Elephas maximus indicus: one gene and its partners. The main gene of each other region encodes a partner of the protein of the gene in region 3 in a complex. Links are inferred from orthologs where the notes say so. Each region holds a gene or a part of one and is shown on either strand. Other genes may lie near its edges.

Region 1 (9,701 bases), about 150 Mb from region 3:
ATCATTTGAGTTGTTGTGTACAGCTTTCAGCCCTCTTTAATAAAATACTCTTCCCCTGTCCTAGACCCGAAAAATCCTGTCTGCATGTGAGAAGAACCCCACGGATGCCTACCAGCTCAATTATGACATGCATAACCCCTTTGACATTTGTGCTGCATCTTATCGGCCCATCTACCGTGGAAAGCCAGTAGAGAAGTGTCCACTCAGTGGGGCCTGCTATTCCCCTGAGTTCCAGGGTCAAATCTGCAGGGTGACTACAGTAAGTACTGACCTCAAGAAATGCCTCTAGGATATTTCGGAAGAGAAAAACAAAGAAGCATGGTGGTCTTTTCTCCTGGATTTGGCCCTAGCTTCTTTAGGCAGTGATAATGGAGAAAACTAGAACTTCGCCACTACCCCATACCAATAAATAGCAAACACCTGTCTACGGTGTCCATTGAGGGGTGGAGGGAATCAGCATTCTAGGCTTCCCACCCTCACAGATCCCTAACTTTTCCCTCTCTTTCCTCTTCCACAGGTTACAGAGATTGGCAAAGATGTGATTGGTCTAAGGATCAGTCCTCTGCAGTTTCGCTAGGGTCCCCTTTTTGTGCATAGGGGAGTCATCATATTTTCCTTCCAGAGAATGCCCCTCTATCATCCTTCTAATGTCCCCCTACTCCCAACTACCCCTCAGATTATTGACATTTGGCTTTCCCTATGCTAAAGCCCAGTGCACTTTTCTTTTTTATTATGGCTAATCAAAATGTCTAACACTGACTTCTTTGCCTATGAAGCCCTCTCATCTTCTCATGGTGACTACAGTTGTGGTCATAGTTGGCCTGGCCCTCCCAGCTTAGGTCTTTCAAGAAACAAATGAAAATTCAGTGATGAGCATTCATTTAGTAAATTCATTCATTCAATATTTGTCCCTCCCCTTCCCAGCATCTTTGTATCCTGTTTGCTAGAAAGGAGTGGAATGTAATAAGATATGATTTTTTTACTCAACTCTCCCAAACTCTTAGCCATTCTCCCATTTTCTTGGGCATTGAACCTCCCAAGTAGGTACCCTCTGTGTGCCTAGAAATTTAAGGTCTGAGAGGAAACCATTTGATTTTCCAGAAGTGTATACCCCTTTATGTTGATTTGTCCTTTACAACCATTGTTCTCATATTTTGTTTCTCATACCAAATAAAATAGATTTCTACAAGAGCTTCTTGGCTTGCCATTTCTTTCCTGGACCCTCTCAGGTTCTCCTCACCCCATGCAGCTGCCTCACTAAAGGAGATATCTTTCTTGCAATAGTTATTTTTAATTACAAAACAACTAATACCACTGTTTAAAAAAAAGAAGCATAAATTGTTCATAGGATGTATGTGAGGTATAGACCTAAGCTAAGAATGGTAGGCAGCAGGTAGCTTTTCTATTCCATTTTTCACTGCGGTCTTTCAGGTATGCTAATTACAGCCATTATTTGTTGTGCCTGTTACTGCTCTAGGTGTTTTATATGTAACACGCATATGTAAGAGTCATTAGTAGTACACGTATATATTACGGTGCTTACTTTGGCAATATTGTATTTTGCTTGTCCAGTAATGAGACTAATTCAGTAAATAGTGATGTTCTGTGCCTTTGATTAAAATATGTCCATTTTAAATTTTTAATGTTTTTAATAAACAATACATTTGCATAGCTCAAATATCAGTAAATGTAAAAAGCTATACTGTGACAGCTGTTCCTCCCACCCCTTCCTCCAGCCACCTAGTTCCTTTCACCTTTCCCAAAACAGGTAACCACTGTTACTAGCTTGCTTATACCCTTCCAGAGATTTCTTATATATATACAAACAGATACATGCTCTTTCCTATCCTTCTTCTATGTACAAATGGAAGCATCCTATTTAACAATTCTGCACCCTGTTTTTTCACTTAGCATATTTTAGAGATTCTTCCATATCAGCATATTAGAGAGCTGTACTCTTCTAGTGTTACATTATATGATATGCCATAATTTATGTAAGTTGTCCTACGTTGGTAGATATTGGAATCATTTCCATTCTTTTGCTGTTATAAACAGTGCTGCGATGAATTACCTGAACACACATTGTACAAGTGGGGGAAGTATACATGGAGATAAACTCTTAAGAGTGGAATTCTTCCTTCAAAGAGCACCTGACCCATTGCCGTTGAGTCGATTCTGACTCGTAGCAACCCCATAGGACAAACGAGGACTGCCCCATAGTTTCCAAGGAGCGCCTGGTGGACTCGAGCTGCTGACCTTTAGGTTAGCAAACATAGCCCTTGACCACGACGCCACCAGGATTTCCGCAAAGAACACAAGTCTTTATATGTTTTACCTTTATACTAAGAGTCACTTAATATAAAGCACACCCAAACTAACCCTGCCTTCTTAAAATTTTGTATACTACTTTGATAACACTTTCTCAAGTTATAAACATTCTTTTTGTAAACAGGCAAGTTCGTTTGTCAAAAAAGACACCTTTTTGTAAGTTTAAAAATTAAATTACAGTCATGCACTGCATAACATCCATTCAGGCAACGTCCGACTGCATATACATCCGTGGTCCCATGAGGTTATAATAGAGTTCAGAAGTCTGGATCAGAGAACAAGATGTAGTAGTGGTAACCAGATCGCAACAGCTTCCCGCAGGTAACGTATATCTCATGTCTTTTATATACAAAGTGTATGTGCTGCCAGGGTATAATGGTACGGTGCATATGTAATCTATAATAACATTATGCCTTAATAGCCATAATAAATGTCTATGTTACTGTCTTACATATATACTGTACTTTACTTTCTGTTGTTATTTTAACATGAATTTTCCCTACTTAAATAAAAAGTTGATGGTATAACAGCATATGCTTCGACTCAGAGGCAGCAGCATCCAATCTCGTGTATTGTGCATCTCTTGAGTGTTGTAGCGTTATCTCTATTTAATTTTCTTTCTAAAATACTACTGTGAAGTGTATCATGGCTCCCAAACGCAGCAAAACCAGTGCTAGCGATAGCAGCAGCAACAGGCAAAGGAAAAGTATCAACTTGGAAGCAAAACAAAAGTCATTAAACAACACGAAGGTGGGAAATCAGTAAATGCTATGGCTCGCAATTTAGGCATGTTTGTACCACATCCAAATCACTTAACATCCTGTTTCACAGAATGTCTCATGGATGTTAAGCAATGCATGACTATAAAATTAACTTTGCACGGAACATAAACATTTGCCTAAACTGAGGGGTATGAAAAAAATTGACAGACCCCAGTTCTTGAAGCTTATGTAACTGAGGAGACAAAGTGGACGTAAGTGAAATAATTGTGAATGCCCGACGAAAATTTGAAGATGGCCAATAAACAGTGGAGTGTCATTCAGTTCTTAAATAAGAGTGATGTCAAGGAAATGCTGTAAAATATTGTTTTGTAACACTGTTCACTGTATGTTAGAAAGAAGGAGCAACCAGGAGTTGAGTAAATACTGAGCTGAGGTGTTAGGAATCTTAACAGTAAAATAGAAAAGCAGAAACAAGCTTAAAAGATACTGCAAAGGAAGAATCATGCTGTTAGAGTCTCTTAATTCTCAATTATCATCTAGTAGTTACCATATTAAGGTGCTTATCTTACCACAATGGGAGTACTAACTTGTAGTTGGACAAAATGTTATACTTTTAGCATACATGCCTGATAAAGCCATATTAGAGACACATGTATAAGCAGTTCCGCGTTGAATGAGAAAATTAGCCTGGAATCAATTATGTGACAGGTGTTTGAATAGGGTGTTAGAGTACCAACTCCAATGTTAGATATTCGTAATCTGAGTCCTAGATTAATGAAGCGTTTTCAAAAGGACAGAGTGATTTAGTGACAGAGTTGGGACTAGAATTTAGGTCTTCTGGCTCTTAGTTTAGAATGTTTTCTCCTAAATGACACCACTTGCTTGCTTGGAAGTAAACAGGTTTTGCAGGGGTATGACTTTAACAAGTCTGTGCCATATCCGAGAAGGGAAAAGGTAAGTACACACAGTACTCAAATGTTTGGGAATCTAAGGGCCAAAGAGATGAAGTGAGTTACATGTGATTTTTTTTTTTTTAACATAGATGTGATTTTTCCCTTCTTTTAACCTTTATAACACCTTATAAACTTTATCGCTTTTAAGACACCTTGTGTCATACTTACTGTGTATATGTTTACTACTGCCTTCAGCCCAATCCCCAGACAGCTACTTTAGGGCAGGAGCTGTTCTTGATTTATCTCTATATCCTTCACTGTGCCCAGCACAGGATTTTAAACAATGGTAGATACTGAGTTATAAAATAGTTTCGTCTCTGAGGGAGTTGCATTCTGACAGATCTGAATAGGAGTTGCCCAGAATCATCTCTATCTGAGCTTTCCCCTCCGCACTCAAAATTACATTGGAAGTTGGGTTCCATATGGAGAAAAGGAGATAGGACAGAGAAAGCCAGAGAGGCTAGATCAGGTCTGTTACTACTACATTTGAATTGCCATTTTGCTCAGTCTCAGATGCCAGAGTTGCTTTTTCTGCCTGATTCAACTAACATTGAGTTCTTACTACATTTGAATTACTACACGTGGCCTTGTGTCCGTTAGTCCAACAGTTCTAGTGAAGAATAGGAAAAAGAGATGTCCGTTAGATTTGGCACAGAAGCGGCCTAATTAAGGGTCTGGGAGAGCAAAGAGTGGCCAATGAATGCCTGTTAAATACTTTAGGAGCTGGGAATCCAGCAGAGAAGACAACGGACAAAAATCCTTGCCTTCATGGTGCTTAAATTCAAGTGTGGTGGGAGGCAAGAGACGATAAACAAGATAAAAAGTATATATATAATATGCCCTAGTGGCACAGTGGTTAGCTCAGGCTGCTAACCAAAAGGTCGGCAGTTCATATACACGAGCTGCTCCACCAACCGCTCTTTGGAAAACCCTATGGGGCAGTTCTGCTCTGTCCTATAGGGTCGCTATGAGTTGGAATTAACTCGATGACAACAGGTTTGGTATTTGGTTCGGTATAGTGCTCAGTCTTAAGGAGAAAAATATACCCAGAAGTATACATGTGTATGTGTAGGAGGGATTGCAATTTTATTCAATGAGGCCACAGAAGGGGGTCTCAGAGAAATGGCAGTTGAGTAAAATATCAAAGGAAGTGAGGGGAAAAATAGTGTGGGTTTCTATGCACTCTAATTGTCTTCTTGGTGATACATGGGTAGCTTCTGGTTAGGTGTAGGGAGCTTGTCCTAATCTGGCCTACCCACAGCTTGGGAAGAAGTAATGAAAGATCACTTCTCTAGGTATGTGGGAAGTTGAAGTAGAGGAGGCCAGGCCAATAAGAAACCTGGCAGAAGATCACAATATATTGCCCTCGCGCTAGTTCAGCAGTTCCCAGCCCATGAGACCATGCAAAGCTTCCTGTCCCTTTAAAAATGGCGGCTCCGGCCTACCAACAATGCTACTGGCTGCACAAGGCGGACGGGGGCGGGCGAGTGGGCGGTGCCGAAGAGCCCAGCCCCCTACGGCAAGCCGGAGGTAGCAAGATGGCCGCCGCGGAGGGAGACTGTGGAGTTGGGGCCGAGGCTGATCGCGAATTGGACGAGCTTCTGGAAAGTAAGACCCGGTAATGGGAAAGGCCCGGAGGGGGCGGGTGTGAGGACCCATTCCGGGGCTTAAATGAGCCTGAAATATCCGGGGCGGAGAGGGAGCGGGTCTCCAAGGGTTGGACGGGGACGGAGGTCTAACTGCGACCCCGAAGAAGATCTCTGGGTCACCTTCGCGGCAGGAGTTGAGGAGCTCATCTTTGGCCCCCAATGGCCCAGACCTAATGGCCCAGACAGTTGATCTCCCTGCCGGAGGGGGAACGGTAACCCACAGAACAGGATTCCTCGATTCCTCTCAAACTCTTCTTGCTTTAGATTAAGAAGTTCGTGAAGTCTTAACTTCCCGCCAGCCCAGCATTCTGTCCGCGGTGGGCAACGAAACCGACAGTCATGGATTGCTAACATTAACTCTTCAAAAACCCGTAGTGCGTCCTTCAGTGCCCCTGTCTTATCCTTAACGCAAAAGACACTTCTGTCCTCCTCCTAGTCCTATCACCCTTCCCTCACTAGTCTCCTTTACGGTTCTTACATCACGTCAGTAGCTCACGCGGACTACTTTCCTGTTTTTCCTGAGAAATTGAGGGTGAGCCGGCTTATAAAGCAAGCCAGTTGACTCTCCTGAAAAACGGTGGATGTTCTTTTCTTCCTTGGCCCTGTGTTGGTTTCTTGCCCAGAGTGAGGCCAGTGCCCTCCCCCTAGGCCTGGCAAGCAGAGTGGTGGTGGAGACCCAGAGGTGAATTTTTTGTCTTGCCCAGTCACAGAGATGTGGGAAGGTGGAAAAATGAACAGAAACTGGGAGTGCCAGGCGACTGTTTGTGAATTGCGGAGGTGGGGCAAGAGGGAACCCTAGAAGCTTTGCTGAGGGAAGGCTAAATTGGAGGCTAAGAGAAGAGGGTTTAATGTCCTCCCATGGAGTGCAACGTGGAGCCCCTCAATTTGTACTAGCACCAGGACCAAAGGAAAGCTGGGTGGGATATCTTTTGAATTCTGCTTTCTTGCCAAAGGTCATTCCGTTTAGGGCTCCAGAATGAATTCTATGTTCCCTGCTCCTGTTGGATATTTTTATAGGCTTTACAGGGAATCATTAGGGCGTGGCAAGGAAGGCATAATGTAAATGGAGATGTACTTTGCCCTCTGCCCTTTTAACCCTTTCCTCCCAGGTCTGAGACCGGTTTGCTTGTTTCACCTTAAGAGATTTCTTCCTTTTTGATTACATTAAATTAAGTAATGGGGGAAAAGTGGGAGGCTTATTGAGGGATGGACTGGGAGGTGGAGACTCAGAAAGAGAAAAATTTAGAGAAGTTGGCAATTTGAAAAATTGTTCTTTTAATGCTCAGAAACCATCCAGCCTTTCTCCATCACCCATCCCCAACACACACCATGTCTCTTGTCTCTGAAGGTGCTCTTGATGATTTTGATAAGGCCAAACCCTCCCCAGCAGCCCCTCCTACCACCTTGGCCCCCGATGCTTCCGGGCCCCAGAAGAGATCTCCAGGAGACACTGCAAAAGTATAAATTCTACCCAATTAAGGGAGGGGGAGGGGAGGGCTATACAGGTCTGAACCGAGGTGGGTCAGGCCCCTGTGGGCCGGAGGGGAGTGGGAAAGGGTGCCTTGGCATCACATTGCTGAGTGCTCCTGCAAGTCTCAGTCTTTGTAAAACAAACTTCAGGTTGAGTGGAGGGATCTCAAGGACGTTCTCTGAGAAAAGAGCAGGTTTAAATGGTTAGATTGGTATGCCAGTCTATACCCTTCCTTCAGTGGCCAAATGCCTTTCTTGATGTCCTCATCGGGAGACGTAGTTAGAACTTCCAATGGAGGCACGTAGGAGGGAGGCACTGCATTTCTCAAAGCCACTGCCTGTAGCTTCTGCCACAGGCCAGGTGCAGTGAGGTGCCAAGTAAGAGACACATTTTGCCCAACCTCTCCTGCAGGATGCTCTCTTTGCCTCCCAAGAGAAGTTTTTCCAGGAACTGTTCGACAGCGAGTTGGCTTCCCAAGCCACTGCGGAGTTCGAGAAGGCAATGAAGGAGTTGGCTGAGGAAGAGCCCCACCTGGTGGAACAGTTCCAAAAGCTCTCAGAGGCCGCTGGAAGAGTGGGTGAGGAGGGGACCCCAGACAGCTGAAAATATGTTCAAGTCATGCTGCTTGAGAACACTGGAATTCTTAGTAAGGTTGATAGCAATCACAGTGTCACTGTTGTGGGGTAAAGATAAGGAGAGGAGATGGGAGGAGAGGTGGGAACCCTACTTAATGAAAGAGATGAGATAGGTTGGAAAGTAATAGGAAAGATGATTCAAAACTGACCGTTTCGAAGGTTGCACTGTTATTCTGGGTATCATCATGGAGAATAAACTGACGCATGGTCCATACGGATTTATGAAAATGACCATGAAGATAAGCATAGACTTTGAAGCTTTAGAATGATAAGCAATTCACTGGTAAATGCTCCTCACCAAAGCTGACAACTGTGTTAGTCTAGCCAGGCAGACCGTTAAAACCCCAAATGACCCTGGCTCTTTGGTCTGTCCTAGGCAGTGATGCGACCTCCCAACAGGAATTCACTTCTTGCCTAAAGGAGACACTAAGTGGACTAGCCAAAAATGCCACTGACCTTCAGGTGAGAGGCTAGAGGTAGGGGACCACATGGGGCCCACTCCCGGACACCTTCACGACCAGAGTCTCAAAAGACAAAAACTCTGGGGTATCATCCCAAGTCTGTCCCTGCCTCATTGTTTTGAAACAGTCAAGTTTAAATCGTTCTTCCCTGGGCTTCTACTTTCCCAACTGAAAGGGTGGTAAGCCATCCTGAGAAGGCAGTATGCTCACCGTCTCTCCTGTCCTCTCTAGAATTCAGGCATGTCGGAGGAAGAGCTGAACAAGGCCATGGAGGGGCTAGGCCTGGCCGAAGGGGGCGGGGAAGGGAGCTTCCTCCCCATCATGCAGAGTATCATGCAGAACCTACTGTCTAAGGATGTGCTGTACCCGTCACTGAAGGAGATCACAGAAAAGGTTTGTCAGTCCGCTTCTGCTTTTCCTCCTCCCTTGCCTCGTATCAACTCTTATGGGCTACTTTGTGTGCTCAGGGCCTCTAGAGAGAGACTAACTTGAATGCACAAGTCCCTCTGCTTTTTTTGTCTCCTTCATTTATGTGGAATGTGTAGGGTTGGGGGAGTTATGTCTCTGAAAGATGAGAGTTTCCATGCTGAGGATCTCTGGAGTAAGAGGGGAAACCCCTCAGCTCTCATTTTCTGTAGACCGGCTCAGGACTCTGGGTCATAGTCTCATCGACCTCTTTTTGCATTTGTGTCTTCGTTTATTTCTCCAACAGTGATTCGTGTGAGAATATACTGCATAGGTTCTCAGCACTGGCTTTGTGCCGTAAGTGATTTAAAAAGAGTTTAAATGATGAGCTCTGTAGTTAAAGAGCTTATAGTTTTATTGGAGATAAAATATAGGCCTAGATGTTTTTTAGTGACAGATAGCAACATGCAGTTAAGTGCAGAATGAGTAATATAGACCAGAAGTTGGCAAACCAAGCTAAAAAAGCTTTTATATTTTTATGTGTTGTAAAAAAAAAACAAAGAAGAATATGTGACAGAGACTGTATGTGGCCCATGAAACCTGCTGTCTGGCCCTTCACATGAAAAGTTTGCCAAACTTTTATGGTTTGTAGACCATAGCCAGGGGCTCTGGTTGGAGTCAGTGCTACCTCTCATGCTGAACTAAGTTATTTGGCTTTTTCCTTCAGTGCTACCCTCCTCTCCATATTTTAAGTATTGTTCTCATTGCCCTTCCCTATTCGTTGTTTACTTAATTGTTAACTACCCATTCTCTGTTTTCTCAGTACCCAGAATGGTTGCAGAGTCACCGGGAATCTCTACCTCCAGAGCAGTTTGAAAAATATCAGGAGCAGCACAGTGTCATGGGCAAGATATGTGAGCAGTTTGAGGCAGAGACCCCCACAGACAGCGAGGCCACTCAAAAGGCTCGTTTTGAGATGGTGCTGGATCTCATGCAGCAGGTAAGGCCTCCTGTTGGCCACCTGCCTTCTGGTGCTGTCGGCTTGGGTGTTCAGTGGAGGAGGCATCTAGGAGGGAT
Region 2 (9,151 bases), on a different chromosome or scaffold from region 3:
ACCACTCCAAGAAGGGAAGAAGGAAATCACTCTTCTGGTACCACCATCTGGTTACTGCCAGATGGAAGTAGAAATCGAGGTTCCTCATTTGGCCACCATTAATACATGAGTAGGAAGGGGACTCCTCATTACTGCTATGTGGGCTGGGAGTGTCCTGGCTCCCCACGTGGTCTCCACTTACATCTCAGGGGAGAGACGGAGCTGTGGCCTGTGGAGATAAAAGTTCTGGCTCCCTATTTGGGCTTCTTTGGTACCACCCTAGTGGGGGAATTGGGGTGCTTCCTTATAGCCTCATAAGGAGAGAAGTCTCTGTTTCCTACTCAGCCTTCACTGGTGTTGGTGGGGCCATAGTTTTTTCTTTCATGTTTAGTTGGAGCAGAGTAGTTACTGTCTAAAAGTTTCTGTCTTGGTAGGCTGCCCCTTCCCCCGTCCTAGAGAGAGCAGGTCTTTGTTAGAGCTCTTTTTGTCTGCACCCATTGGTGTTGCTGTGTTGCCGGCTTCTCTAGCACCCAGTCTGGGATATATGAGGCAAAAAGAAAACCTAGATTACTCACTGCTGTGTTGTTCCTTGGGTCCTGAGGTCCTTAGCTGGTCTGCCTTCTTTTCTCCATCTTTCAGAGTCTTCTTATGTTTGTTTTATATATCGCGTCTACGGTTTTTAGTTGTACTCAGTGGGAGAAAAAGAGAAAAGCATGTCTACTTCATCTTCCTGGAAGTGAATTTCCCCTGTCAAACTAACAAAACAAGCAAAAACTGAAACACATTATTTATCTGTGTATGCTGTAGATATTTGGTTGAAAAATACTGAAAAGAGAGTAAAACCACTCATTTGAAGAAATTCTCCAAATAAAAAACCTTATTTTGTTTTTCTTTTTTTCCTTCTTCCCTTCCATTCTTTGGGGGTGGTGGGAGTAAGGGATCAATGGGTTCCCAACTGGATTTTGGCAAGGGTGACATATTGTGAAAATTCCCTGGATTTCTAGAGGTGGTAAGATTCTGCTACAAGCATGGGTAAGGGGTGTCTGTAACACAGTCCTGCTTTTGGTTAGGCAAATCCCCTGCTGTGTAGCTATAGAATGGTTAGGTATTTTGTACTCAAATGTAGATGGGTTATGCCGGACATAGCTGATTATATCTAGATATCACTACTCTGAACACTTTTAAAGCCAATTGGGATTTGCCCAGGTATACACAGATGGGTCCAGTTTTGGGATTTGCTGCATTTCACCATACATGCAGCTTTCTTCCTTTGTCAAAGTGTCTCTGCCAACGGTAACTACTGAGGCTGACAGGACAGATGAATAATCATAACCAACAAACCCTTTCAAATGTACATGTGTGAAGACTGTAGCTTGACGTGCAATATCCAGAGGAAGGAAACTTCCCTTACTCTGTGCGTTGTGTCATTAAAAAACTAAAGAATCAAACCAGACGGTCGTCCCCATTTCCCAACCCCCACCTCCAACAACATGGAATGTGAAATTCAACACCTAGGGAGCAGAGATTTGTTGCTCAGCTGAAGTTGTGAAAGAAGTTGGTTGCACCTGATGTGGGGATACAGCTTTTCAACTACCTTAATCTGATGATAAAAACTAGGTAAAGTTGTAACTGAAGAGTTGGACACCATTATCAGTTGAGGGGAACGGCTTTAGGGATTCATGACACAGCAGACAGAACTCTTCTCTGAGACACAACTGAGGGTGTTCACTTGTGGTTCAGATAGCATCATTTTGGGACCATACAGTTCCTATGTCTAGTGTCCTGGCCTTAACTCTCTGACCTCTAAGTGCCTGTACTGTGGTTCCAAATTTAACCCAGTAGCCTTGAACTACCTGAGCCAGTAAATTTGCTCAGGTGTATAATGACTTTGAGTTAAAATGTCTGATGTTTAAGAGAATCTGATGATAGGCCTTCAATCTGAGAGGTAAAATTGATTTTAGACTTGTGATTTTAAGTTAAAAGGACTAAGAGGATTTTATAAATGTACAAGGGTTGAATAAGAGGTTAGAAAGAAAAAGAGGTTAGAAAGAAGGTTGTTAGCTCTGTCAGGCATATATAATGCTTTAACATATATATATATACATACATATATATATATGTGTATATACATATATATATATATATATATATATATATATATATATATATATATATATATATATATATATATATATATAGAAAGTACCCAAGGAGTTCAAAATATTTAAGGGACTTTGATTTTTTAAAAACAAAGTATAGCAAAGTAGTTAGAAGTACGGACTCTGGAACTAGACCGTCTGTGTTAGGGGTTGGCAAACTATAGCCTGCCATCTGTTTTCTGTATGGTCTGCAATCTAAGAATAGTTTTGACATTTTTAACTGGTTGGAAAAAAAAAATCAAAAGAAAAATATTTTGTGACGTTATATGAAATTCAAATTTCAGTGCCTATAAATAAAGTTTTATTGGAACACAGCCACACTCATTCATTTACGTATTGTCTATGGCTGCTTTCATGCTACAATGGCAGAGTTGAGTAGCTGTGACAGAGACCATATGGCCTGCAAATCGTACAATATTAACTATTTGACCTTTTACAAACAAAGTTTATTGACCTTGGTCTAGGTTCAAGTCCCAACTTTGCTATTTATAAGTGGTATAACTTTGGGCAAGTCACTTCTCTGCGCCTCAGTTTCCTGTCTGTAAAATGGGAATAGTAGTTGCTATATAGTTCATATGAGGATTAAATGAATTAATACTTGAAAAGTACTTAGAATAGTGCCTGGCACATTGTAAACACAATGTAAGTGTTTAAAAATTGTTTGAAGGAATTTAATCTGTTAAAATTGAATTAACTGAATATTAATTAAAGAGAAAGTAAAAGTGATTATTTTATTTTATATGTTACTACTCTTATAAATAGAATAAGAATGTATAGCTGAATCTGGATTAACAAAATTTAGGATTTTAAATCCAGAACTTCAATAAACTAAATATTAATTAAATACCCACGTAACTCTATTAGTTCTCTGCCAACCCTAGACACCCTCTTGGACTTGTGGACCAGGTTCTGTGAAGGATTCTACGGCTTACAAACCAGGCTTCTTTAAGACTAGGAGGCCTTGCTGTGTAATGGATAGATAGATACCTGGAGTTATGCCTGGATTGAATTCTGACATCTTAGTTGTGTGATTTGGGGACAAGTCTTATCTGTAAAATGGGGTTAGTAACACCTATTTCATAAACATGTTATGAAAATCAAAAGTGCTAATGCTCATAAAACATTTAGTGCAGTACCTGGATTTGAGTAAGCACTCAATAAGCACCAGTTGTCATTATTACCATTCTCCCAAGAGTGGGCACATAGTGAGTTATTGCTTCTAGCAGAGCAGAAAGTAATGTGTGTGGTATGGTTGGAGTGTTACTGGGAAACCCTTAATGCCTTAATGTCCTGAAAGTCTACCATATCATATGCTTCCAGTTGAACGTTGCCTTCTCCAAAAACCTAAAACTAAATCCATTGCTGTGGAGTGAATTCTGACTCATGGTGACCCCATGTGTTACAGAGTAGAAATGCTCCACAGGGTTTTCTCGGCTGTAATCCTTACGGAAGCAGATAGCGAGGCCTTTCTTCTGTGGTTCCTCAGGGCAGGTTCAAACCAGCAATACGTAGGTCTGTAGCTGAGTGCAAACCATTTATACCACCCAGGGCAAAAGTGCCCTGTCCAGGGATTCTCTCTTTTGGAAGTATGCACTTTCTAGAGGGCACCTGTTCCTCCTTGGTATGGTTTAATTCATTAGTACTAGATATTTACCTGGTGGCGCGCTGGTTAAGAGCTCAGCTGCTAACCGAAAGGTCGGCAGTTGTAATCTACCAGCTGCTCCTTGAAAACCCCATGGGGCAATTGTACTGTCCTATAGGGTTGCTACGAGTCAAAATCTACTCAACGGCATGTTTTAAGGTATATTCTTTACAACGGCAGCCTGAGAACAGTGGACACTCAAGGGTCAGGATTTGTGTATTCCAGGGGAAAAGAGGTAGTGGATTAGGGCCTCTGAAAGTGGGTGAAAATGCAAAGAAAAGGAGAAATTTTCGACAGTCTTCAGGTTTGTCCTGTCATTCTGTTTCCCTGAGGTGTCTAAGAACAGCTTCTCTGCCTTCCCAGGGTTGAGTTTACAGAGCCAAGTCTCTTTGGTTCCCTGGGGCCTCCACCATCGAAATCTTTACCAACAGCCAGGTAACAGGACTCACCTAGGGCTTCACCTGCTGTCTGTCTGCCTCTTCGAGTGCACCCTGGGCTGGGATGATACTTCTGTTTGGCTGAGTCTACCATACCCTTTCTCATCTACCAGCAGCCCTGAGCCCCTCCTGCCCTTCTACATGACACCAGGACTCCCTTGGTCTTGGAGCCAGGTCAGAGACCAGGGTTTGTTTCCCAGTGACCTTGAGGTTTGAAAGCTGAGCCAATTCCCTGGCAGATGGTGGGGCCTGAGGCTTAAAGTCATGTTCTGCATTTTTTGCATCAGCCGGAAGGAGTGGGAATAAGGCCACCACAGTGACCTTAACCACAGGTGAGGGAGGGGAGTGGGGGAGAAGTGACTCACTGTACACCTACCTTGTATGTTATCAGCTTTAAGTCTCAGGATGTGTTGGACCCTATTTTAGTCTCTGGACTTTGTCATCATTCAGTGCTATTTTCCCCAATACGCAGAGGTGGAAAAGGGATTGGCTGCAGGCCTCTGTCTCCATGGAGACTGTGACGCTATCCCTTTATGGGGACTTTGGAAGAGAGGCAGACCTGGGAGGCTGGAAAAGGTCCCCGACTTGACTAACTTCCTCCTGTCCCCGAGTCTCAGCATTAGGGTTTTTCTTCTACCCGCTTTGGGGCTTGGGAAGACTGGCCGTTTTAGAGGGGTAAACTGAGGCCTAGGAAGGGCAGGGGATGACATTGGGTCACAATGAGTCCCAGGAAGAGCAAGGATGAGCTGAGCCCAGCAACCTGGGCCCTCGGCTTTTTCCCCAAAGTCCGGGAAGCCCCTCAGCTCCATTCTTCCTTGACCCTTCCATCAAATAAATCTGAGCGTCAGCGACCCTTTCAAGCGCTTCCAAGAGCACACGCTCCAAGATTTTTCTTTTAAGGAGCCCTTCCCCTTTAAGATTCACCGCTCTTCCCATTACGCGGCGTCGCATCCTTAAGGCCCCGCCCCTTCAAACAGCTTCCGCCGAGCCGCGACCGCAGCGCGGCGGTCACGGCCCCTTTAAGCCTGAGCCCCGCCCCCTGGCTCCCCCTTCTCTACCTTCCCCTCCCCCGCCAGTCCGGGTGCCCCGGCAGCTCTTGCGGCGCGGTGCGCGGCGGTAAGCAAAGGGTCCCGAGGGGGCGCGGGGACGAGTTCCCCGTCTTCCCCGCCCTTGCTGTGTCCTCGTGGGGCAGGGCCAGAGCAGATGGAGTGGTGGGGAGCGCGGGAGGGGTGGGCCGGGAGCGGGTCGAGCAGAGGGAGGGGCCCAGGTGACCTGGGGGAGGGGGTGGCCCCCCGTGGTGTTCAGCAGACTACCGGGGGGTGTCGGGGACAGGGCTTACGGTCAGGCGTTGTTACTCCCTTCTCGTGTCCGCCCAGTGTCCCAGTCCAGCGCGGTTGGAGAAGCGGCCCCTGTGGCCCTCTGGTGTCCAGGCCACTCCGTAGGGGGCGGGTGCTGGCCGGGTTCAGCCGGTCGAGACCACAGACGTGGAGGCTGCCGAAGAGGCCCAGGCTGAAGGCTGTGGCCTTTGAGGGGGCGGCGGGAGGGTCCCGGCACCCCTTGGAGGTCAGGCAGAGGTGTGGGCCACAGTAAAAGGCACAGGGGTGAAGAGTAGCCAGTGACCAGGGGCCTGACCCGTGAGGGGCCGATGTTTGCTAGCCTCCCCAATATGCGAGCTGAGTTGGGGGTTGGAGAAGGGTCTGTCTTCAGAACCTCAGTTCCAAACCTCTGCCCATCAGAGAGCTGGCGGTCACCATGGCAATGCGGGAGCTGGTGGAGGCAGAATGCGGGGGTGCCAACCCACTCATGAAACTGGCTGGGCACTTCACCCAGGACAAGGCCCTGCGACAGGAGGGCTTGAAGCCTGGCCCCTGGCCTCCAGGAGCCCCACCTCCAGAGGCGGTGAGTGGAAAGCCCAAGTGGTGGCTGGGATGGAACGTCCAGGTGTACACCTTGGATAACTAATTGCTTTCTTTATTGTGCTGCAAATAATAGTTACCATCTTTTTAATGAGTGTTTACTCAACATTATACTAAGCACTGTGCATTATTATATAGACGAAGTAAACAATTTTATACATAAAGAAACTGAGGCCCAGAGAAGTTATGTGACTTGTTCAAGTCATGTAACTAGTCAGTAGTAGAGCTGGAATTTTAACTCATGTTCAACTGATTTCGCCACTGTACCGTATTGCCTTCCTTTGTGTTCTGTCTTAGGTCTCTAAGCCTTTGGGAGTATCCTCTGAAGATGAGGTAAATATATCAGTGTCATTTCCACTGTAAACTGTTAAGCACTCGACTGCTAGCCAGTGGGTTGATAGTTTGAACTCACCCAGAGGTGCCTTGGAAGACTGTCCTGTTGATCTGCTTCCAAAGGTCACAGCCTTGAAAACTTTCTGCAGCAGTTCTACTCTGCACACATGGGGCCGCCGTTAATGGGCATTGACTTAACAGCAACTAACAACAACATTGTGCTTTTATTTTTAAACTTGCCTCACCCATATTTCAATCTTTGGTCTTCCCTGAACAAATGAGATTTGCTTTAGCTCTCCTGCTTGTTTTTTTTTTTTTTTTTATGTATTATTTGTTTCCAAATCTATGGAGAGTTAAGTTTCTCTCTCTAATTGTCTCCAGTTTCTATATTATCCTTTCATTGTATCTGACATCAGTATCTCTCATCCAGTGGACCCTGTCTCTTGCTGGGACTTCCCTGACCCCGTGGGTTCATTTCACTATCTTTTCTGACAGCTGGTGGCTGAATTCCTGCATGACCAGAATGCATCACTTGTATCCCGTGCCCCTCAGACCTTCAAGATGGATGACCTCCTGGCGGAGATGCAGGAGATTGAACAGTCCAGCTTCCGCCAGGCTCCCCAGAGAGGTGGGTTCAGAGTCTGGTGGGAGGGGAGGTCACCATTTTCTGTGTAGGCGGGGCCAAGGGGGTTCCAAATTTGAATGCTGATGACATTGTGGAACTGGATATAGAAGGAAACAAAAGGAGCATAGTGTTTTCATGTGCATTCAGGGTTACTTACTAGGCATAAAAGAAATAATAAGTATTTCTTTTTTCTGTTTTTAGCCCCTGGTGTGGCAGACTTGGCCTTGTCTGAGAACTGGGCCCAGGAGTTTCTTGCAGCTGGAGATGCTGTGGATGTAACTCAGGATTATAATGAGACTGACTGGTCCCAAGAATTTATCTCTGAAGTTACAGGTGAGACTCCTTATTGGAAAATCTGTAATGGTTTCAGTGGAGGCAATGAAAGTTCTATACTGCTCCCCTAATTCATTTAAGGGTACAGGGTGATTTCAGCTGTTTATTATTTTTCTGGCCTCTTGACATATTTTTATGTAGGGCATTTAGCATGATTTCCCTTAGGTGATAGTAGGGAGTCGAAATTTATATTAAGCAGAGGACTGAGTTTGAACTGGGTAAGAGATTTTTCCAAATCCGTATAGTTCAAACCCCAATGTGTGTGTGTGTGTGTGTGTGTGTGTGTGTGTGTACGTACATATATATGTACCACGAAGAATTAGGTCTACCTCTTTGTTATCTGGAACTTTATTACTACAGTTTGGTAGAAAGGATCCAGAGAGATTGGGTGGATGGCTGTGTTGCCCAGGAAGAGAAAAATATCTGCCAATAGCTTCTGTGATTCTGGCAATAAGTCATCTTGAATATAGTTGGGGCCTTGGAGAGTGGGGCTGTGGAGTTTAAAGCCAAGACCATACCTTGATGATAATAATAAAACTTAATAGCTAATATTTTGTTCAGGGCTTTGTGTCAAGTTGTTTAAATGCATTATGTATTTAATCCCTATGAGAATTCTTGAGGTCCTTACTGGTTTTATTTCCAGTTTATAGATAAGGAAACTGAACCATAGAGGTGAAGGAAATTGCCCAGCTTTGTAAGCGGTAGAGTTGGGATTTGACTCTGGGATGAATGATTCTCTTCTTTTTTGATTGGCCACAGACTTCAGGGTCTCAGCCAGGGCTTTGAACTGGTTTGAACCGGTTCAGTCACGACTGACAAAGTGAAACCAGAATAGACTTGAATTTTTAAAATTTGGATGATCCAGAACCATAACTGGAATGGGAAAAATTATGGGTTGAAGCTGGAATGGGAGACTTCGAAGAGGTGTGGTGAGCCCTTTCGGGAGGCTGATAGTTGAGGTTGGATTATTACCAGCACTGAGGAGAGTGACACACAAAGTGGTGCAGTTGACCACCATCTTTGAGCTGGGCACAGCTCTTTCCGACTCTGCACAGAATCCTATGGGCAAGACATTTGGTTGCTATGCAACATGTACACTGCCCTTGTTTTCTAAGAGGGAGATTAAGTTTCACGTAAGGTTTTGACCCATAATTTTTCCTGTTCTAGTTGTGGTTCTGGGTTACCCAAATTTTAAAAATTCAGATCTGTTCTGGTGTCACCTCCTTGGCCATGACTGAACTTGGAAGAACCAGTTTGAAGCCCTTGTCTCATGCTAACTTTTTCCTCTTTGAGATTGTCCATTGCGCACTTCATGCCTTGGGATTGATCCTTCTGTCTGTAAACCTACCTAATTTTTTCTTCCTGATTGGTTTCAAAGAGAAGCACCATTAGCCTTTTCCAATTTAAGAAATAAAAGAGAATGAGAGGCACAAGTGGAGAAAGTTACAACGATTCTAGACTCTAAGGGAGCTTATACCATCATAGTTCCTGAATTTTTCTGAGATGATAAATAGGACCTAATTAGTTTGTCTTCTATATCATTTAGAAAAAAAAAAAATATTGTGTTTAAGGTGAAAGTTTACACAGCAAATAAGGTTCCATTTAAGAATTTCTACACAGACTATTCAGTGGTGTTGATCACATTTTTCACAATGTGTCATCATTCTCATCCATTCCATCTGTACCATTTCTAATACTCTAGTTTCCCTGCCCCCTTACCTTCTCAT
Region 3 (10,307 bases):
AAGAAATCATAAACTAAAATTTACATGGAGGTGGAAAGGACCAAAGGTCCTAGATCAGTCAAAACAATTTCGAAAAAGCATAAAGTTAGAAGACTTTACACTGCTTGATTTCAATATTTACTATAAAGCTACAGCAATAAAGACAGTGTGTTATTGGCACTGAGATAGACGTATAAATCAATAGAACAGAACAGAGCCCAAAAACAGACCAACGCATATACAAATATTTGATTTTTTACAAAGGTGGCAAGATAATTCAATGGCAAAAAGATAAAACTTTTCAACAAACGATTTTTGAAGCCATACAGAAAAAAATGAACCTCAGCCTTCGCCAATAAGCACAGGAAAAGATGATTATCAGTCATCACAGAAATTCAAGTTAAAATCACAATGAAATAACACTACACATCCAGTAGAATGGCTAAAATTATAAAGTCTGACAAAAGTCAGTATTGGTGTGGATGTAGAGCAACTGGACCTTTCATACACTTTGGCGGGAACGAAAAATAGTACAACCACTTTGTAAAAACACTTAAGCAGTTTCTTAAAAAGCTAAACATACCTTTATCATATGATCCTGCAATTACACTCATGGGTATTTACCAAGAGAAATAAAGACATGTCCTCATAAACATACATGAATATTCATAGCAGCCCCAAGCTGGAAACAATCCTGAGGCTGATAGACTAAGGTAGCCCTCAGGATCCCCACCTCCTAGCATTCAGCCCTTCCCTTGAGTGTGGGCAGGACCTGTGACTTGCTTCTGGGCCAATACAGTAGAGCAGCGGTAATAAGACATATGTAATTTTATGCATGTGATTATGTTACATAAGACCACAAAGTCTGATTTGCTAAGAAACATCTTTTCCTTACTGAATTTGAGGAAGCAAATGGCCGTGCTGGGCAGATCCAAATAGCAAGAAAATGAGGAGAGCCTCTGGATGACAGCCAGCAAGAAACTGAAGCCCTCAGTCTGACAGCCTATAAGGAACTGAATGATCCCAATAACCATGTGAGTAGATCCTTCTCCATTCAAGCCTCAGATGAGACCACAGTCCCAGGAGGCACCTTGACTGCATCCTTGTGAGACCCAGATAAACCCTGCCCTAACCAAAACAACTGTGAGATAATAAATGTGTGTTCTTTTAAGTTGCTAAGTTTGGTAATATTGCTATGTAACAATAGATAACTAACACAATCCAAATGTCCATCAACTGGTGAATGGATCAACAAACTATGGTACAACCATCCAATGGACAGTAGCTCATTATGTGGATGGACCATAGTTTGTTGGTACATGGTTCTTTACATCCGTGATTTCAGTCAACCTTCTAGGGTAATTACTATTACTCCCATTTTGTTGTGATTGTTAGTTACTGAAGAGTCAATTCAGACTGGTGGTCAACATATGAAAAATCACACTCTAAAAGCTGTTAAATAGGACTTAAGTAAAGGTTTAGATTCATTTGTGAGTGAAAATCCAGAGTCTATAGACTAATACCAGTTGCTGTTGAGTCAATTCTGACTCTTGGCAACACCATGTGTGTCAGAGTAGAACTGTGCTTCACAGGGGTTTTAACAGCTGATTTTTCAGAAGCAGAATCCCAAGCCTTTCTTCCGAGGTACCTCTGCGTGAGCCTGAACCTCCAACCTTTCAGTTAGCAGCTGTTTGCACCACCCAGGAACTATTCTTGAATAATAACAGCTAACACTTACTCTGTGTCAGGCACTGTTTAAGCACTTTTACATAAATTCACTCATTGAATCCTCACAGCAACCTTATGAGATAGGTGCTACTGTTACTCCTATTTTACAGATGGAGAAATTAAGGCAGAAAAGTTAAGTAACTTGCCCAAGATTATACATCTGGTAATAGTGGGACTAGAATTCTAAGCCAGGGAGACTGGCTTCAGAGTCTTTGCTGTATATTGCCTCTCAAGGAGAGAGAGAGCTATTCACCCTTAATCTTTTGAAACCAGAGACTGATGCCCCAAGGCCAATTAACAAATGTTCTGCGAGATGGAATACTGACTCAGCTCCACAGGTCTGACCTATGCAGCTCTTCTCACATACAAACTAGGTTTCAGGGCTGAATTATCCAAACGGTTCTTAGAAGCCCATTCGGCTTGGAGTGGAGAAATTGGAAACCAGCTTAGTCAGGGCTTGAAAACGGAAACAAGCAACTGCTAAAGAGAGCTGGTTCACTTAAAAAAAGGTATGCATATGTTTGTTTGGGGGGCACTCAACTCAGGCTTGGAAACCCTACGGGGCAGTTCTAGTCTGTCTACTTTGCCCTATAGGGTCATAATGAGTCAGAATCTGCTAGATGGCAATGTTCTTTTTTTTGTGGGGGGTGTTGAGTTTACATTAATGGTGGTGGAATAATTTGGAAAAGGGTAGTGATAATGGTGGCACAAATAGAAAAAATGTAATCAATGTCATCGAATTGTAAACATGGAAGCTGTCGCATTGGCAGTTGTTTTGGTGTATATACATTTTCACCAAAATGAAAAAAGAGGTGTGCTTTTGCAGGTTATTGTCAAACACTGATGGAATTACAATGGAGAACTCACAGAAAGTTCAAGTGTTTCCCCCAGGCTGCCAGCATATTCTGATGCAATACCATCTCTACCAGCTTTGGAAAGGAGGGCAAAGGAGAAGCAGAGCTGAAAACCAAGTAAGTGCGGGCCAAGCCCCTTTAAAGGGACTTAGATCCTTTTCCACATGAATAGAGAGGACAACTGCCAGTACCAAAGGGATCTTTTTGGACACTGCAATGGCTCCAAGTGGCAAGACTTTTAGTGACTGTCATACTACTGGCAAATTAGACACCCTAAAGGTACCCTTCAATCACAGCCTGTGGGTATTCCTAACATATAACAGTTTAAAGAAGCCCAGGCCTCAAAAAGCCTCAACATTTCAGCAAAATTAGTGCGGTAAGGCAAGAAAGGAGGGCCGCTTCTCTCAAGACACTTTCCACACTCCAGAATTTCCGACAGTGAAAAGGCCAGAGTCAGCCCTAGTTATTTCCCACGCATTACAATACAGGCATCTTCTTCCTGATCTGGGGCACACACTAAATCCTTTAAGTGCAGTTCCCGTACTAGGCTCATCATGAAGAATAGGACAGTAAGGAACACTAGCTGATGTTCTTCTGCCTAGGAAGGAAGCGACAGAGGAGTAAGCTGCTGAAAACTTAAAGATGTTTCAAGGAAGTAAAAGATAAATGATAAAGTCCCAGGTTGAAACCATTTTCTTCATCCTCTGTCTAATTCTAAGTAAATCTACACATGTATGGCTGACTTGACATACTTGGGTTTAAATCCAGACTCAGTCAGGGGCATGATTCTAGGCATGTGACGGAACTTTAGAATACATGTCCGCAAAGCGAAGGTTAACTGTCTTCATAAAGGTTGTAACTGGCATTAAACGAGGTAATAAACATAATTTGTGTTCAGCGTGACAGCACACACTTAGTAAATGTAAGGTACCTCTTATCCTTTTCCTCCTCAACTCACCTCACCCAGCCTCACCTCACCTTTGGACTATAAATCCCTTCAGAGGCCTTATCATCCACAGCTTCCTAAAAGCAGATGAACACTGCTCCTCATAGTCCCCTTACAGCACTGGGATTTGGCTGAGTCTGTAGGTGAAAGGCTAGAGTGGAACTCCTGGCCGAGAATGTCAAATCCACGGAAGTGATGATAGTTTGGCGGCGTCTGTTGTTTACAGCGCGTGTCCCTTTCCCCTCAACGCAGAGAGGGTCCAAGTACACTCCCGATCCTCCAACTTGGCGGAGGGAGCGAAAGGTGACTAAAGACGAAGAAGCTAGCAGCGAGGCAACTCCAAGAGGCTGAGGCTGCGGGGGAGTGGGAATCCTAACGGAGTCAGCCCACCCCCCCCCCACCCCCCCCACGGAGGGGACAACCTTAAACGATTGAGTCTCTCATCCTCACTGCTCAAGCAGGGGCCCTCGAAGCTCAAGGATGGGGGATTCACAAGGGTCCCGCCAGTATCCCAAAGCTCCAGTAGGGCCGGAGGTGCTGGCGGGCGGGAAGTGGGGACCCGCGGAGGCGGCCGAACCCCCGAACCCAAGCTCGGGAATGTGGTCAAAGAGGGGTCATAGGGAGAGGGGGGCGGGGAGGACCCAGGGAGGGGCGGGGTTCGGGAGGGGACAAGAGATCGGGGCCCCCAGTTTCGGAACCTCGGGGTTGCCACCTGCCTCCCGGCAGTATGCCGAGCACTCCCTCACACCGGGGTCCCCGTCGCCACAGCAGGGCAGTCCAGCTCCCCTTACCTGGCTCGGCTGCTCTGCCTGCTCTGAGGAAGCCATCTTTCTGAGGCCTGACTAATCTATCGCCGCTGGGCGAGGCTTCTCCCAAACGCCTTCGCTCTGGCTTTCCCGCCCAGACTAAAGTAGCCGGAATTGAGCCGGTCGATGGGGAACATAAAGGGGAGGGGGGAACCGGGGTGTCCAGGTCACCTCGCACAATTTCCACTAGGTCTCTGCTTTAGAGGAAGATCCGAAGTCTATCCTTTTTGTATTGCTGTGTGTATAGTATTCTTATTGAATTAAATCTCTGCCCATCCTCATAGTGCCTTGAGCACACGTAGTGACTCGCTAAGTATTAATTGAATGGGATGAAACTTGAAAGTTAAATTTTAGTACCGTTTATTGAGCGCCTAGTATTTCCCAGGAACTTTGTTATGTGCCGGAAATAAATGCAAGCCCCAGTCACTGTTCCCAAGCCCAGGCACACACAACCCCCCTGCAAAAAAAAAAAATTTTTTTTTTACAGCATTGATGTGCTAGAACTTCGGTAAAAGGGTAGGACTATTGGCGAAACACAGAAGAGGGAGCATTTGCGGGGGGGGGGGGGAGAGGCTTCTACTAACCGTCATTGCTTTATAGCTGTCGAGTTATTAGGTTTAAAACTAAATGTGACATTACGTATTTGAAAAGCGATGTGTACGTTAGAATTATTGTTCAGCTCATATTGTAGTTATGTTTTGACCAATTGTGGAGTACTCATAAGGACGGCATATGTCAGGGTTGTATCCTTTGACCATACTTACTCAATCTATAAAAAATCTATACGCCGAGCAAATAATTTGAGAAGATGGACTATATGCTCCTTGGAAACTCTTAATGGGCAGTTCTACTCTGTCCAATAGGGTCACTATGAGTCCGAATGACTCCACAGCACTGGGTTACTGGGTGGGACTATATGAAAAAGAATGCAAGAACACAGCATCAGGTTTGGAGGAAGACTCATTAACAACCTCTGATATCCAGATTACACAACCTTGCTTGCTGAAAGTGAAGAGGACTTGAAGCACTAACTGAAATGATAAAGGTCAAAGATACAGCCTTCAGTATGGATTACATCTCAATATAAAGAAAACAAAAATCCTCACAACAGGACCCATAAGCAAAGTCATGATAAATGAAGAAAAGACTGAAGTTGTCAAGGATTTCATTTTACTCGGATCCACAATCAACATCCATGGAAGTAGTAATCAAGAAATCTAACAACTTATTGCATTGGGCAAATCTGCAAAAGACCTCTTTAAAGTGTTGAAAAGCAAAGATACCACTTTGAGGACTAAGGTGCACCTCACCCAAGCCATGCATGCAAAAGCTGGACAATAAATTAGAAAGACCAAAAAAGAATTGATGCCTTTGAATTATGGTGCTGACGAAGAATACTGAACATACCATGGACTGCCAGAAGAAGGAACAAATCTGTCTTGGAAGAAGTACAGCCAGGATGCTCCTTAGAAGCAAGGATGGCAAGACTTTGTCTCATGTATTTTGGACGTGTTATCAGGAGGAACCAGTCCTTGGAGAAGGACATCATGCTTAGTAAAGTAGAGGGCCAGTGAAAGAGATGAAGAACCTCAGATAGATGGATTGACTCAGTGGCTGCAACAATGGTCTCAAGCATAGCAAGGAATGTGAGGATGGAACAGGACCAGGCAGTGTTTTGTTCTGTTGTACATAGGGTCACTATGAGTTGAAAACAACTTAGGGGCACCTAACAACAACAAGGACATAAGGGTACTCATAAAAGCAGCATCAGGATTGGAGGAAGACTCATTAACAAGCTGCGATATGCAGATGACATACCTTGATTGCCAGGAATGAAGACAACATGAAACACTGATGAAGGTCAAAGACTACAGCCTTCAGCATGGATTATGCCTGAACAAGAAGAAAACGAAAATCCTCTCATGTAGACCAATAAAGAGTTCCCTGGATGGCACAAATGATTAAGCACTTCCCTACTAACTGAAAGGTTGGCAGTTCGAATCCACTCAGAGGTGCCTTGGAAAACAGGCCTGGCAATTTGCTTCCAAAAGGTCACCGCCTTGAAAACCCTATGGGGCAATTCTACTCTGCACACATGGGGTCACCATGAGCTGGAATCGACTCAGTGACAGCTAACAACAGACCAATAAATGGCATCATAATAAATGAAGAAGAAATTGAAGTTGTCAATGATTTAATTCTACTTGGATAAACAATCAACACCCATGGAAGTAGCAGCCAAAAAATCAAACGACGTATATGCATTGCATTGGGCAAATCTGCTGCAAAAGATCTCTTTAAAGTTTTAAAAACCAGAGGTGTCACTTTGATAACTAAGGTGCTCCTGACCGAAGCCATGGTCTTTTCCTGCCCCATATGCATGTGAAAGTCGGACAGTGAAAAAGGAAGATGGAAGAATTGATGCATTCAAATTGTGTTGGTGAATATTGAATACACAGTGGACTGCTGGAAGAATGAACAAATCAGTCTCAGAAGAAATACAACCAGAAAGCTCCTTAGAAGCAAGGTTGGTGAGATTTCATCTTGCTTACTTTTGACATGTCATCAGAAGGGACCAATCACTAGTAAAGGACATTATGATTGATAAAGTGGAGGAGGATGGATGAAGGTGAGGGAGGCCCTTGGTGAGATGGATTGACACAGTGGCTGAGACAATGGCCTCAGACATACCATGAAGAGGGCACAGGACTGGGTAATGTTTTGTTCTGTTGTATACAAGGTCACCACGAGTCAAAAGTGACTTATGAAGAGGGTACAGGACTGGGTAATATTTTGTTCAGTTTTATAAAAGGTCACCATGCATCGAAGCTGACTGGGCAGCAACTAGTAACAATAACATAAGGGTTGCCTCAATTGACAGTCCCCTTATAAAACACTGTTTTAAATGCCTAAACTTTTCTTATGAGATATTTCTTCATGCAAGTTTTTATAACCAAAATGTGAAAAGGGACTGATGCATGTTGTTTACATAAAATGTCTCCCCCCCTTTTAAGTGAGGAACTTTTTTGATTTTTTTTTTAATTATTCAAATTGTAAATGCTAGTTCTCGAACGGGGAAACAAACCAGACGTTTCCATAAGTGGTAGTATTAGAACAAAGATGAACATATTGCCAAACGGCATCTGGAGAATCCCCAACAGTGCTGTGATTTGCTCTTCCCCTTTGCTCTCTGATTTCTTTGCAGCCTTAATGTTTATATCTTTTTATTCAAGCATTTTGTTCTGAGGGCCCAAACCCAATTTGCACAGCTAAAGCAGGGAATCAAATGGGTGGAAATGTGTGGGTATCTTATGTTACTTTTTTCCGTGTTTCAGCCAGACTGAAAACTACACTCATCAATTTTCAAGTCAGTCTGAGGTTTGGAACATCTTAGGGATCTTTTCAGGCTGGAAAAGGAAAATCAATTACACAGTGCAATGACCAACTGTCTTATTTATGTATGGTGGCACAGTGGTTAAGAACTTGGCTGTTAATCAAAAGGTCAACAGTTAGAATCCACCATCTGCCCCTTGGAAACCCCATGGGGCAGTTCTACTCTGTCGTAGGGTCGCTATGACTCGGAATCAACTCGATGGCAATGGGCTTTTGTTTCATATATACAAATAAGAGTACGGTAAAAACCCAAGGGATTCCAAATGCCTGTATTTCATATTGCAAAATAAATCCCTATTGGCCTCATTTGTGAACATGCAATTGCAACTCTGGGTTTTTTTTTTTTAAGCAAGGTTGAAACAAACTCCTGTTGCGCTTAATAGCGCGATTTAAGGGGAACTGAAGTCCGCTTGGGGCAGTTCTACTCTGTCCTGTAGGGTCGCTATGAGTCAGAATTGACTCAACGGCACTGGGTTTGGCTTGGGTTTGGGTTTGAAGTCCGCTTTGGATGGAGAGACTACCACTCCCGGCATGCCCCGGGGCCGCACACGTGATTAGAGGCGACTAGAACTACATCTCCCGGAGTGCCTTGGTCCCACGGGTGATTTGAGGGAAGAGAACTACATCCCCCGGCATGCTGCAGGGGTGGGGGGACCGCAGCACCGAGCTTCCCTGACTTCTCCCAGTCCTTCAGGTCCCACCTTGAAAAGGATGGAGGTGACTGAGGGTACCGGGGCTCCTGAACCCGGCGAGATCCGGGCACTGAAGCCATGTCTGCTGCGCCGCAATCACAGCCTCGAACTGCATGGCGTGGCGGTCTCCTGCCTCGAGGAGCTGAGAAGCAAGGGTTAGTACTGCGCTGGGGCAGGGGCTGGGGAGGGACCGGGCGGGAGAGGAAGTCGGGCGGGGACCGGTCGGGGTTCGAGGGGCGACCTGGGCAGACTTGAAGGGCCGGTGGAGCCTTGGGAAACGGCACCGAAATAACTCGGCGTGGGTATAGCGCTTTACAGGTTTCGAAACGTTTCATAGTCGTTTACAAGGCGCTGAAACTTTATCTCAGGTGAGACTCTTAAATGTGGAAAAAAGTAGACGGGAAGAAATATGCAAATTTAAGAGGCTCGACTTAGCTGTCTTGCCTAGAATTATACTGATTTCTGACCATATCTAGCCCAGTGTATTTCTGTCACTCTGAATCGTTAAAATGGTACTGGGGGCCTCCAGCTGAGCCACCGGGGGGCGGATTTTCACCGTCAGCTCCGGCAGGTACCTGTACCGGAAAGAGGGAGCGGCTTCTGACTGTCCTAGAAGTCCAGACAGAGGAACGGTGTTGAGTGTTGTGTGTGACTGAGATGACAGAAGTTCTGAGCCCTAGCCCCATGTTGTTACTAGCTGCTTGACCTTGCACTAGCATCTCTCGACCCTCAGTTTTCTCATTGGAAAATGGGGTGTAATAGTTCCGGTGCTGCTTGCCAGGACTGGTAGGACTCTCAACAAGAGCTGATATATTGAGATGATATATTCAAATGACTTCCAAATGTTATAAGCCATATATGGTTAAACGAGTGAGCTATCCCCAGGCATATAGTCACAGTGTGTGTCAGTACACTGCTTCCTCTTTAGAGACACTTAAGTTCCAACCAGTTATCATACAGAAGTCTTTCAAAGACTTAGGAGCAGCCAAAGCATTGCACATGTTCTGCTGATATGGCTTTTGCTGTGTATTTATTTTCTGGCATTAGGTTACTTAAGTCTGTGAGGGTTTCTTTTTTTTTTTTTTGTCACTGAAAAATGCATCCGTCTGGATGTACTTGGTACAGAAGCTTGTGTAAATGCTTGTGTTCAGTGGAGCTCGGCCTATGCAAGGCTTGCTTGCTTTTCTACTGCTATTTGGGTGGTAGACAACATTCCCTAAAGATATTTATAGTCTTTGCTACTTCTGCCTACTTTTGTCTCATCACCATCACTAAAGTGGATGGGACAGAGCTGCCCTGGGGAAAGCCTCTTGTGTAGTGATAATAAAGATGAAAAGAAACTGATACAAACTTGTTTCTCTTATGCTTTCCTATAGATTAGAAAAGCTGCAAAGAAAGATGCTACAAAGATCAAAAAGTTTGTTTGTTTTTTTTTTTTTGACATTCAACACACCAGAGAATTTAAGATGGCTACTGAATAAATGAAAAAAAGATTACTCATTTACAAGGAGCCAAACCAGACTTTGGTATAGTTTGCTGTATACCGAAAGACTTGAGTGCCTCTTGTGTGTAGTGTAGAATACCTGTAGGAAACACATTTCCAAGAGCAAGACTGGATTTAAATCCTGATTCTCTCACTTAACTAGCTTGGGCAAGTTACTTAACCTCTCCGAGCCTTGGTTTTTTCTCATCAGTAAAATGGGAATAATAATAGCACCTACCCTCTAGAATTGTTATAAGGATTAAATATTGTAGATGAAAAGCACTTAGAACAGTACCAGGCATGTGTTAAGTGCTATTTCTATGTCAGTATCAGTAGTTGTGGTTGCCAGTAGTTGAGGTTATAATTTCCTTACGGATGTGAATTTGCTCTTTGGATCTTGAGTTCTCTGAAGAGCAGAATTTTTTA

The links.
Region 1: the proteins of PEX14 (region 3) and PEX19 are in contact, whole or in part, in an NMR structure (PDB 2W85), measured with the Homo sapiens proteins. The link is inferred for Elephas maximus indicus from reciprocal best matches to the Homo sapiens genes PEX14 and PEX19. Residues at the interface, in NP_004556.1 of Homo sapiens: Leu28, Thr31, Ala32, Lys34, Phe35, Asn38, Ser39, Arg40, Val41, Ser44, Thr48, Phe52, Lys56, Leu58; in NP_002848.1 of Homo sapiens: Gln67, Phe70, Phe71, Leu74, Phe75, Ser77.
Region 2: the proteins of PEX14 (region 3) and PEX5 are in contact, whole or in part, in an NMR structure (PDB 4BXU), measured with the Homo sapiens proteins. The link is inferred for Elephas maximus indicus from reciprocal best matches to the Homo sapiens genes PEX14 and PEX5. Residues at the interface, in NP_004556.1 of Homo sapiens: Thr31, Phe35, Asn38, Arg40, Val41, Ser44, Pro45, Thr48, Arg49, Phe52, Lys55, Lys56; in NP_001124497.1 of Homo sapiens: Glu59, Leu62, Val63, Glu65, Phe66, Leu67, Gln70.

What each region holds. Positions count from the first base shown.
Region 1 is NC_064821.1:198,957,198-198,966,898, reverse strand, and holds the start of PEX19 (peroxisomal biogenesis factor 19), read left to right. Parts: upstream 1-5,503; 5' UTR 5,504-5,541; coding exon 5,542-5,611; intron 5,612-7,000; coding exon 7,001-7,110; intron 7,111-7,534; coding exon 7,535-7,700; intron 7,701-8,134; coding exon 8,135-8,220; intron 8,221-8,450; coding exon 8,451-8,612; intron 8,613-9,447; coding exon 9,448-9,624; intron 9,625-9,701. Other genes in the region: COPA (coatomer subunit alpha), read left to right, coding at 65-259, 518-577. UniProt on the Homo sapiens protein: Necessary for early peroxisomal biogenesis. Acts both as a cytosolic chaperone and as an import receptor for peroxisomal membrane proteins (PMPs).
Region 2 is NC_064822.1:64,042,431-64,051,581, forward strand, and holds the start of PEX5 (peroxisomal biogenesis factor 5), read left to right. Parts: upstream 1-5,227; 5' UTR 5,228-5,333; intron 5,334-5,355; exon of another isoform or gene 5,356-5,428; intron 5,429-5,953; 5' UTR 5,954-5,969; coding exon 5,970-6,116; intron 6,117-6,430; coding exon 6,431-6,466; intron 6,467-6,961; coding exon 6,962-7,094; intron 7,095-7,292; coding exon 7,293-7,424; intron 7,425-9,151.
Region 3 is NC_064821.1:50,299,129-50,309,435, reverse strand, and holds the start of PEX14 (peroxisomal membrane protein PEX14), read right to left. Parts: upstream 4,341-10,307; 5' UTR 4,335-4,340; coding exon 4,299-4,334; intron 1-4,298. Other genes in the region: DFFA (DNA fragmentation factor subunit alpha), read left to right, coding at 8,418-8,553. UniProt on the Homo sapiens protein: Component of the PEX13-PEX14 docking complex, a translocon channel that specifically mediates the import of peroxisomal cargo proteins bound to PEX5 receptor.